Callithrix jacchus: one gene and its partners. The protein of the gene in region 2 purifies or fractionates together with the protein of the main gene of each other region. This does not show direct contact. Links are inferred from orthologs where the notes say so. Each region holds a gene or a part of one and is shown on either strand. Other genes may lie near its edges.

Region 1 (4,264 bases), on a different chromosome or scaffold from region 2:
GGGGTGCAGTGGTTCACACATGTAATCTCAGCACTCTGGGAGGCCGAGGTGAGCAAATCACTTGAGGTCAGGAGTTCAAGCCTAGTCTGACCAATATGGTGAAACTCTGTCTCTACTAAAAATAAAAAAATTAGCCGGGTGTGGTGGAACTTGCCTATAATCCCACCTACTTGGGAGACTGAGGCAGGAGAATCGCTTAAATCTGAGAGGCAGAGGTTGCTGTGAGCCCACTGCACTCCAGCATGGGTGACAGAACGAGACTCCATCTCAAAAAAAAAAAGAATTATTTAGTCTAGTTCCCTCATTTCAGGCACAAGAATACTGAAACACATGATTAAGTAACTTTCCCACAGTCTCAGAGCTAGTGGGAAAAACTAGATTTTCTTTTCATTACCACTTTCTATTTTCTGAAGTACTAAATATGATCACCACTCAGCTTTCGTCACACGTTTTGGCATTATTCAGATGCTCACTTATGCAACACAGAAGACTTAAAAAACAACAAGCACAACTATAAACAGGTCACCTTAACATGACTTAGGGAAAAAAAAAAACCACACACCCAACCAAAATCACAATATGTCCCATCGCGTTCAAAATATCTCATAGTGCAATCCCACCAATCAGTTTCCAGCATCTAACCACTATTCCAAAACAAAATTCTACCCGATAGCATTTCTTGCTGGTTATTTAGATATAAACTTAATACCATGGGTTCATGGGTATTAAAGCCATCAAGCTATCTGCAATTCATCCCTAAACACTAAACAATTAGCTCCACTGTTATTTTTAGCCCTTTCTAGGTAAAAACTTTTTACCTAATAAGCCAAACAATAACAAAACTGGGTGCTAACTTACCAAACTTGATAACAGTAAATACTTCAGAAAACAATGGTTAATTAGGCGTTGGTAGATTCTAGGTTCATAAATCCACACCAGACATGTCTTGGCACCATGGCATATTTATATACTGTACATCTAAAAAAAAGCTGTTTATGTCCCCATAAATGGTAGGTATTCTCTGGCAAGTCTAATCCAAGTGATTAAAATGGGGAATTACTGTAACAAAGTGACTATTTTTACTGTGCCTGAGGAACACGAAAACCTAGGAGGCTCACTTGAAAGAGCATTTGGATTTTAACTATTTATACTCTTTTTTGACTAACCGTGGTTCTTTTCCCTGTTGCATTCCTGCTTCTGCCCCTCAACCCCATTCTCTGAAGAATCCTAACACCAAAAACTTCTTTATACTCTAGTCAACAAGAGTTGTTAACCTTGACATTTCATGATCACTCTTTGAAGAGGGAAAATTACATGTTTTAGTTTTGTTTCTTTTTAATTAAAAAGGTAACTACTCCCACCCACCCCTCAAGTAGAAATGAGAAATTTGTCAGAGGCCCCCTAATAACTGTCAAAGAAGAATCATCCAGTGAAGAAATATAGACAAGACTATTATAAAACCCTGAGTCATCACTCAGTTCAATCAGCAGATTTGGGTAAACACTGAATAACTGACTTCGTTTTGTGTGTTCACCCATCCATATCCACATGCGTGAACATACCATGTTACCAGATTTTATGTACAGTTAACCAAACAAGATACAGCAAAATTCTTTCTTAAAAAGCTCTTTGGATACAGTAAAGATGCCCACCCAGCAAGTAAATCTAACTTTTTCCCCCGACTGTATTTTAACTAGTTTTTTTTTTTTTTTTTTTCTAATTTCACTGACACTATTGTTTGAAGCTACTTTATAAAGAACAACATAACTCCTGAAGCTGATTTAGGTAATCTATGTTATCTGAGCAACTCAACAAATTAACTCAAGCCTGATACCAATATCGCCCTAAACATCCTGACAGCGCTCTTCCCTGTTTTTTTCAGTATCTTAAAGGTCTCTTCAAAAGAAATGTCACGACAGGAGCAACACATAATCCTCAGAATCTTAAACAACATTGTCAACATTAACGTCTAAGACGTTAACCTCAAGAATGAGGTCTGACTTTTCAATCAACTCCGCCAGGTCTGAGCGAGCCCCAAAAAAGCAGAACCCCTAAGTTTCCCTATGGCTTCCTTTCCATACAGAAAGTTACTAGACGCCAATGGAGATGTGAAGAGCTGGGGATCGCAGGGGAAGGAAGAATCAGAGGAAGCACAGACAGAAGTCAAGAAGTCAAGGAACTCCCCCAAAGACAAATCCTCTGTGCCCCGCCTCTCCCGTGCGCAAAGGTCCAAAGAGGACTCTTGGGAACGGCTCACCTCTCTTCCTCGGGGCTCGGGCCCTCCCCCAGGGCCCCGCAAGTCGGAAGACAACAACCCGAACGCTTCGGGAGAAGCAGCTGGGGAGGACGTGGATGGCGGGTGACCCGGGAAGTCCCGTAGTAAAGTGGCAAGGAGGACGGCTTGAGTGCTCCACTGGCTCTGTCATGACCGTGGGACCACCGCTCGGGGACAGCTCCAGCGAGTACAGAGCTAAGGGTCCAGCCCTCTGGATAAGGAGCACCCACCCCCGACACCTTTTATTGAGGGTTTCCGCCTCGCCTGGGCCGCAGGCCGGGGCACACTTACGTGGAGAGTTTCCTGGTCCAGAAGAGGCCCCCGGGCCATAGCTCTTGGAGCTGCACGGCCCGGCCCAGGTTGCATTTGATCTGGGCCAGCAGCAAATCGGACTCGGCGTCTAGGCGCTCGGCGTAGGGCAGGAGCTTGTTGTAGACGATTTCCTTCTGCGGGACGAAGCCCCGTGGGCCCGGCTCTGGACGCCCGCCGGGATCCCTGGACTCTCCGCCTCCCGCCCGCTCGGCCGGCTCCATGAGCCCAGGGACACCCCACCCCACCCCCTCCCACCCTAGCCCTCCCCGACCCCCACCCCTCTCCGGGCTCCGCCTCCTCCGCGTCTTCGTCGCCTTGCGGCCGCCGGCGGCCCCGTCGTCCTCGGACCGATCGCTAGGCCCCCTTCCTTGGCCAGCGTGCTGCTGGGCCCCGCGCGGTTCCCGGTTCGTTGGCGGCGGCAGTGGCCGCTCTGCCCGCCCCTCACCGGCTCGGCTGGTGACGCTGCAGCCGCGGGGCCCAGAGGTTCCGGACAGGCCTCAAGTCACTTCCGGGGCGGGGCGGGGCGGGGCGACGGCGTAATGGGAGGAGGTGGTAGCGGCAGCTGGAGCCCAGGGGCCGCGCCTTCCTCGCCGTAGGCTAGGCTCGGAGCCTCCAGCGCCTGGCCTCACTGGCCCAGCGCGAGGCTGCCCCACCGGAAACACGAGGCCGAATTCCAAGCTATTGTCCTGCCTCGCTGGGGGTCGCGCACTGGCCCCGGCAGTCCACCGGAGCCCCAGTCGCCGCGGGTGGCTGCGGTCGGCAGCCGAGTTGGCCTGGTCCCCCTAGCCGGGCAGTCCCGGCTTCTAGGTTACAGGGGTTTATGAAAAAGTCCACGTACCCACTTGCTCCTTATAGATTTATTTACTCCATCCCACTTGTTCCTTCTAGATTTATTTATAATTCTGTCTCTGTTAAGACCCCATCTTTCTGGTATTCTGGCCGCCTTCAAAGAAAATAGTTACTCACTGAATAAATACTAATTGAACAACTGTTGTGTGTAAGGCACTCTGTTTAGCCTATTGAAATGGAAAGTTTAACCTGGTTTCCGCCCTTCCAAGGACTTAGTCTAGCAGAGATAAAGACGTGAATTACAAGATAATGCTCTTAATTGCTAGATAAGTACAGGAAGCCTTGGGAACTCTACAAAGAAGTTTAAGCAAGGGGGTTGAGAGGGAGATACTTAAAATAAGCTGTAAGGGTTGAGTGCAAAGTTGGTTAGAAAAAGGAGGGAGGCGCTGGGCGCGGTGGCTCACTCCTGTAATACCAGCACTTCGGGAGGCCGGGGCGGGAGGGTCGCCTGAGATCAGGAGTTCGAGACCAGCCTGGCCAGCATGCTGAAACCCCGTCTCTACTAAAAATACAAAAATTAGCTGGGCGTGGTGGCAGATGGCTGTAATCCCAGCTACTCGGGAAGCTGAGGCAGGAGAATCGCTTGAACCCGGGAAGTGGAGGCACCAGTGAGCCGACATCACGCCATTGCACTCCAGCCTGGGCAACAGCCCGAGACTCAGACTCAAAAGAAAATAAAAAGGAGGGAGAGTCGGGCATGGTGGCTCACGTTGGAAATCCCAGCACTTTGGGAGGCCAAGGCGGGTGGATTACCTGAGGTCAGGAGTTTGAGGCCATCCTGGCTAACATGGTGAAACCGCGTTTCTACTAAAAATACAATAAAATAGC
Region 2 (3,649 bases):
AAAAGCTTTTTCTTTCAAGAGGGGGCAGCCAGTAGGTGACAACCAATGGTAGGCTCAGATTTGTAGCCTTAGAAAGCTTTGATGTTTAAGCAAAGAAACTTCAGTTGTCATGCTGGGGACCTATTCATCCTTGCAAGTTCAAAACAAATATATATCTACTTCCTTTACTCACTTGTTCTTTACTGAGATGCCAATAAGCATCTAGGCAAAGCAAAGTAAGTGAAAAAACTAAGTCTTAGAACTGAAGAATTTTAGAACCCAATAAAAATGTTTTATTCACTATGTCATCTATTCCAATCCTCCTTCAAAACAAAACCCAGCTCTAGAGATATGTAATACCTCATTTTGGCTGGCAAAAATAGGACTTAAATCAGTTTTTAGAAGACCCTACTGACCCACAGAAGAGTGCAGCTTCCAGAGGGGGACCTACCTGTGCTTTTTAAGATCCATCCTATTCAAGCCCTGGCCACCCAACTCCAAGGGTGGACAAACATGGGAAGCAGCTGAGGGCAGGGGTCTGTCACTGCTCCCTTCCTAGAGTGTTGGTACTTACTCGGTGTATAGTATCGGTCCAGGATACTGAGAGTCAGGAAGGCACCATAGCCATGGGCTGCAAAAGGGGCCTTGGCCAAGGCTGCCAGGTAGTCCATGTAGTAGAGCGCTGGCCCTTCATGCTCATCATAGCCAGCCAGGAGGAGGTTGACATGATATGGAGTCTGCAAAGACAAGACATGGCAAAGTGATAAGCAGAACACTAACATCTCTTCCCATGGCAAATGGGAATATTCTGACTCTTGATGAGAAAGAAAGTATTAACAGCAACTGAGTAAATCACAGTGCAAGTAAAAATGTAGGGAAATCTAGAGGACTTGGAGTATGGTAACAGGTCAAGGGACATTGGGTTATTCTCTTTGAATAGAAGGGCATTTGGAGCACTTTAAGGTATATGAAAAAGCTCTTATCTTCTTAAAGTCTACAGATGAGAACCTGCATAAAAGCCCTTCTTCAAAAGTATTTGATAGCAAAACAGAGTGACTATAATTAATAATAGTTTAATTGTATATTTTAAAATAATGAAAAGAATATAACTGGATTATTTGTCACACAAAGGAGAAATGCTTGAGGAGACAGATACCCCATTTACCCTGATGTGATTATTACACATTGTATGCCTGTATCAAAATATCACATACACCCAATAAATATATACGACTATGAATGCACAAAAATTAAAAATAAAAAAAAATTTTAAGCACTGCACAGGCAAAGCACAGGTGCTCTCTGTCATTCCTAATTGTTGAAAACAACAAACAATTCTGAGAATGCCAGGCCACAGACTGAAAAAAGCAGATGTTCCAAGCACATCAAATGAAATAAACAAACTCAATCTGGACATCTGGACCAATCCCAAGTGGTAAACTGTATGCCCACTACTAAAGAAACAATTTATAGCTGGGAGCAGTAGCTTACAGGTATAATCCCAGCACTTTGGGAGGCTGAAGCAGGATGGATTGCTTGAACCCAGGAGTTGGAGACCAGCCTAGGCAACATAGTGGGACTCCATTTCTACAAAAAAAAAAAACCCTAAAAACTTAGCTAGGTGTGATAGCACACACATGTGGTGCCAACTCAGGAGGCTAAGGTGAAAGGATCACTTGAGACCAGGAGGTCAAGGCTGCAGTGAACCGTGATTGTGCCACTGCACTTCAGCCTGGGTTCAAAAAAAAAAAGAGAGAAAAGAAACAACTCATGAGGTGGGGAGGTATAGTAAGTCTTAAATATTTAAGTCAAATCACTAGACTTAACTGAGAAGTAATTTTGAGACAAATAAAAAGTAATGAAAAGGCTAGGCATGGTAGCTCACGCCTATAATCGCAGCACTTTGGGAGGCTAAGGCAGGTGGATCACAAGGTCAGGAGTTCGAGTCCAGCCTGGTCAACAAAGCGAAACCCTGTCTCTACTAAAAACACAAAAGTCATTCGGGTGTGATGGTGGACGCCTGTAGTCCCAGCTATTCAGGAAGCTGAGGTAGGAGAATCACTTGAACCCGGGAGGTGGAGGCTGCAGTAAGCCAAAATCATGCCATTGCACTTCAGCCTGGGCAACAAGAGCGAAACTCCATCTTCAAAAAAAAAGTAATAAAAAAAATTATAACGGATTTATAAATATCCTTTCTTTCTTTTATTACCTGCAAATCTAAAAGCATAAGTTGCTATAGAGAACTATGACTGAGTCTGCGCTGCTCTTCATCGCCAAATGGATGAATATTTTTTTCTACACCAGCAGGGTCGTTTACCATGTTAAATTCAGTCTGTCTATGCCCCCAGGCATCAGTGGTGGGACTTCCATTTTAAATGGCTTTCTTTTTCTCTGCAGGATGTGTTTCTCCTCTTGCATTTGCTTCAGTGGGTAGTAAGCAGGCCTTGCCCATGAATATGTCCCCATCTCTGAATTTATGAATGCATGCAATCAAACGCACAGTAAGTGAGACACCTCATTATGAGGCATGAAGTATAATAGCTAATGGTCCTAAAAATGGCATTTAACATTCTTTGAACACTGATTAACACAGGTACTTGGCAGCCTTAAAAAACTCCTTGTTTTTGCTTTTTTCTGGGGGTGGGGATGTTGCGAGGGGAGTTAAAAGGGGTTGTTGTTGTTCTGTCGCTCAGGCTGGAGTGCAGCAGTGCAATCATAGCTCACTGCAGCCCCACTGTGGCTCAGGTGAATTTCCCACCTCAGCCTCCTGAGTAGTTAGGACTATAGGCACATACCACCATGCCCCACTAATTTTTATTTTTATTTTTAAGAGATGAGGTCTTGGCCAGACACAGTAGCTGATACCTGTAATCCCAGCACTTTGGGAGGCTGAGGTGGGAGGATTACTTGAGGTTGGGAGTTTGAGACCACCTGGCCAACATGATGAAACCCCATCTCTACTAAAAACACGAAAATTAGCCAGGCATGGTGGCATGTGCCTATAGTCCAGCTACTCTGGAAGCTACGCTGAGGCACAAGAATCACTTGAACCTGGAAGGTGGATCTCAGTGAGCTGAGATCGTGACACTGTACCACTGGGCAATAGAGCAAGACTCTATCTCAAAAAAAAAAAAAAAAAAAAGAGAGAGAGAGAGAGAGATGGGGTCTATGTTGCCTTGGCTGGTCTTGAACTTCTAGGCTCAAGTGATCCTTCCACCTTGGCCTCCCAAAGTGTAGGCATGCCACCGTGCCTATTGCAAATCTCATGTTATATACTTACTTGGAATTCTAAGCCAGCTGTGCTAAGTAGGAAGGGTTCCTAACATCACCTGGAGATTACAGAGTAGTCCTGACCTCTAGATAAGTTTCTGTTTTAGTGATAAGATAGTGGGTAGTCTCAGAGAGAAATAAGTTGACCAGCAGTCAAGACTTGACTTCAGAGAAAATAATTATCTGCCTATTGCATTTCCCAATGAGTAGTGTGCTACACTCTACCAAGCTCTGGAATTCTCTGTGCATTCTGAGTACCTTCTTAGTAAATCCAATCTTAGGCAAAAAACTTAACCCCTATGAGCGTCTGTTTGTTTTTTTTTTAATGTGTAAAACTGGGTTAATCTTTCTCCTTTCTATCTTCTAGGGAATACAACGAGAAAAAATAATAACGATAAAG
Region 3 (3,649 bases), on a different chromosome or scaffold from region 2:
AAATTAGGCTTAGCAAGACCAGGACTAGGTCAACAGAGGATGGCAGATAAAAATTCTGGAATTAACCATGCGATCACATAGCATCCTGTTCAAACCTCAAACAGCACCTAGTATCTTTTACTGAAACAATCTGTTTATAAATCTGTCTCCTTCTTTAGTCTCTAAGGTAGCAGAAGGTAGAAACTATACTCTGCACTTGTGCATCCCCAGAGATGGCACAGGCTCTAGCTCACTGTAAGTACTCAAGTGTTGAACTGGCAGGGTTCCAGAAGGACCTATGGAAGAGAATACCTACTGTGAACACTTTTAAGGCAGCACAGTGTAGTTCAGGGAAGGGTTGACTGCTAATGCCACGGAAGAGCTCCAGTGGATCCCGGGATAAAGAAGAAAACCAGTATTCTGTCATCCTCAGAAGGTCATCAGTCTGCTGCTCAGGCTATAGGAAAGAAAAGGAAAATCTCATCACAAGGTTAATTCATCTGGAGAAAAGAACTTATTTGGAAATCAGGACACCTGGGACCCACTGTCCTTTATTAATTTCCCAGTCTACTTACTGGTAAGTACAGAAGAGATGAAATTGCATCCAAACATCTAATTTTTAGCTCCATTGAGGCATTCTTTGCTTGATGACCTAGTCTCACGAGCAAGCGTTCAAAGCGAGTTCCTTTGAAGGATAACAATGAGATTCTTCTTCATCATGGTAAAATATACACAACATAAAATTTACCATTTTAACCATGTTTAAATGCATAGTTCAGTGCTATTACGTACATTCACATTGTTGTGCAACCATCATAACTATCCATCTCTAGAACGTTTTCATCAACCCAAACTGAAACTCTGTATCTATTAAACAATAATTCCCTTTCTTCCCTACCTTCATCCCCTGCCAACCACCATTCTACCTCCTGTGAACTGGATTCTTCCAAGTATATCATCTAAGTGGAATCATACAGTACTGTCCTTATGTATCTGGCTTACTACACTTGGCATAATGTTATCAGTGGTGCAAATTCCTCCATGCTGTAGCATGTGCCAGAATCTCATTCTTTTTAAAGGCTGAGTAATATTCCATTGTATGTATATACCACATTTTGTTTATTGATTCACTATCAATGAACATTGAATTGCTTGCACCTTTTTTTGGTTATCATGAATAATGCTGCTATGAACATGGGTGTATAAACATTTGTACAATTTTTTTTTGGTATATACCTAGAAGTGGAGATGTTGGATGAAGGAAATGTAAAATGTACAAGGGTTATGGTTTCTCCACATAAAACACTTATTTTATGGTTTTTTTAAGTAATATCCATCCTAATGGATATGAAGTGAAAAATGAGATTTTTAAAAATTATGCTGTCATACACAATGATCTCCACCAACCTAGACCAATACAAAAATAAGCATGTAATTAGAGAACAAGTGACAGGCCTAGACACACAATTACATGCAACACAGCACATATAAGGCAAAGTTATAAAACTGGAATCAAAGGACCTAGACTTGAGTAGCAGCTGCCCTAATTAGTATGAACTTAGAAATTTTCTTAACTCCTCTAAGTTTCATCTACCTTATCTGGAAAATGAAAATGACAGTAGTATGTTCTTTGCAGGTATGTAAAAAGATTATGTCATAGGTAAAAACACTTAGAAAACTACATAAAACAAGGATATTAGCTATGATACGCAACAGCATATTAATTTTTTTAATTTTAATATTTTTTATTTTTTTGAAATGGAGTCTCACTGTGTCACCCAGGCTGGAGTACAGGGGCCTGATCTTGGCTCACTGCAACCTCTGCTGCCCAGGTACAAGCCATTCTCCTGCCTCAGCCTCCCAAGTAGCTGGGATTATAGACGAATGCCACCACACCCAGCTGATTTTTGTATTTCAGTGGAGACCGGGTTTCGCCATGTTGGCCAGACTGGTCTTGAACTCCTGACCTCAGGTGATCCACCCGCCTTGGCCTCCCAAAGTGCTGGGATTATAGGCATGAGCCACCTTGCCCAAACTATTTAAATTTTTATTTTTTGAGATGGGGGTCTCACTCTGTCACCTAGGCTGCAGTGCAATGGCGTGATCATGGATCCCTGCAGCCTTGATCTCCTGGGCTCAAATGATCCTCCCACCTTAGCCTCCCAAGTAGCTGGACTATAGTCATGCACCACACCACACCTGACTAATTTTTGTTGTTGTTGCCTAGGTTAGTCTGCAATTCCTGGCCTCCTAAAGTGATGGGAGTATAGGCATGATAATTTTCAACATATGCATATCAAGAATTTTAACAATTGGGCTGCATATTATTTTGTGCGTATAATTTGTTGTGCTATTGATCCTCATGGATGTATGGATGCTCCATAGGAGTATCTTTCTTTTTTCTTTCTTTTTATTTTAGATAAAGTCTCATTCTGTTGCCCAGGCTGGAGTGTAGAGGTGTCATTTCAGCTCAACGCAACCTCTGCCTCCTGGGTTCAAGACATTATCCTGAGTAGCTGGGACTACAGGCACGTGCCACCACACTCAGCTAATTTTTGTATTTTAGGTAGAGATGGGGTTTCACCATGTTGGCCAGGTTGGTCTTGAACTCCTGACTTCAAGTGATCCACCTGCCTTGGCCTCCCAAAATGTTGGGAGTACAGGGGTGAGCCACCACGCCTGGCCTTTTATTTTATTTTATTTTTTGAGACAGAGTCTCACTCTGTCACCCAGGCTGGAGTGCAGTGGCATAATCTCAGCTCACTGCAAACTCTACCTGCCAGGTTCAAGCGATTCTCCTGCCTCAGCCTCTTAAGTAGCTGGAACCAGCACTGCGCAGCACCACGCCTGGCTAGTTATTATATTCTTTAATAGAGACAAGATTTTGCCATGTTGCCCAGGGTGGTCTTGAATTCCTGAGCTCAGGCAATCCATCCACCTTGGCCTCCCAAAGTGCTGAATGAGTCACTGTGCCCAGCCAGAAGTATCTCTCTTAACATAAAATCTTATTTAAAAAACTTTTATTTTCCTTTCTTGACATTACAAACCCCCCCAAAATTTCATATTCACAACAACCCTAAGAAGTAGTTGTTATGCTATTTTTATAAATGAAGAAAATGAGGCTAGAAAAGTGAAGTGAGTAAATGAAGTTCAAAAGCAAAGTCAATGGTGTGCACCTGCAGTCCCAGCCCATGAGGATGAGGCAGGACGACTACTTGAGCCCAGGAGTTTGAGGCAAGCCTCGGTAACAGAGAGACACCCCTGATCTCTTAAAAAAAAAAAAAAAAAGAAAGAAAAGAAAAAGAAAGGAATAGAAAACTCAAGGATATGAATCCAGCCCTTTCTGACTCTAGCCCATGGTCTTTGTACCATGAAATCGGGCCAAAGAAGACGTAGAGGGGAAATAGAAAACAATATTTGGTTGAAACTGATTGGTAGAAACCTAAACAGTGAAAAGTCAAAAAAAAAAAAAAGGGGGGGGGGGAGAGGGGGTTGCAGTAGTAATTATTTAATTATTAGACTTTTAGACATGAGTCCAAGGTCATGGTTAACAAGACTGCAACCCATAAAATAGTTTCTACAATGTAGTTAACCCACCAGCAAATGAACTTACATATTGAACCCTTATCAAAAATTAAGATAACCCAGAACAGAGCCAAGTCATACCAAC

What was found.
Region 1: the proteins of PSMB2 (region 2) and PSME4 purify together in Homo sapiens (affinity purification with mass spectrometry; 3 studies listed by BioGRID and IntAct, counting the BioPlex papers as one, with this or other methods). This does not show direct contact. The link is inferred for Callithrix jacchus from reciprocal best matches to the Homo sapiens genes PSMB2 and PSME4.
Region 3: the proteins of PSMB2 (region 2) and PSMD5 fractionate together in Homo sapiens (co-fractionation; 3 studies listed by BioGRID). This does not show direct contact. The link is inferred for Callithrix jacchus from reciprocal best matches to the Homo sapiens genes PSMB2 and PSMD5.

The regions. Positions count from the first base shown.
Region 1 is NC_133515.1:60,550,456-60,554,719, reverse strand, and holds the start of PSME4 (proteasome activator complex subunit 4), read right to left. Parts: upstream 2,852-4,264; 5' UTR 2,809-2,851; coding exon 2,567-2,808; intron 1-2,566. UniProt on the Homo sapiens protein: Associated component of the proteasome that specifically recognizes acetylated histones and promotes ATP- and ubiquitin-independent degradation of core histones during spermatogenesis and DNA damage response.
Region 2 is NC_133508.1:72,192,597-72,196,245, forward strand, and holds part of PSMB2 (proteasome subunit beta type-2), read right to left. Parts: intron 717-3,649; coding exon 554-716; intron 1-553. UniProt on the Homo sapiens protein: Non-catalytic component of the 20S core proteasome complex involved in the proteolytic degradation of most intracellular proteins. This complex plays numerous essential roles within the cell by associating with different regulatory particles.
Region 3 is NC_133502.1:169,227,740-169,231,388, forward strand, and holds part of PSMD5 (26S proteasome non-ATPase regulatory subunit 5), read right to left. Parts: intron 665-3,649; coding exon 555-664; intron 437-554; coding exon 296-436; intron 1-295. UniProt on the Homo sapiens protein: Acts as a chaperone during the assembly of the 26S proteasome, specifically of the base subcomplex of the PA700/19S regulatory complex (RC).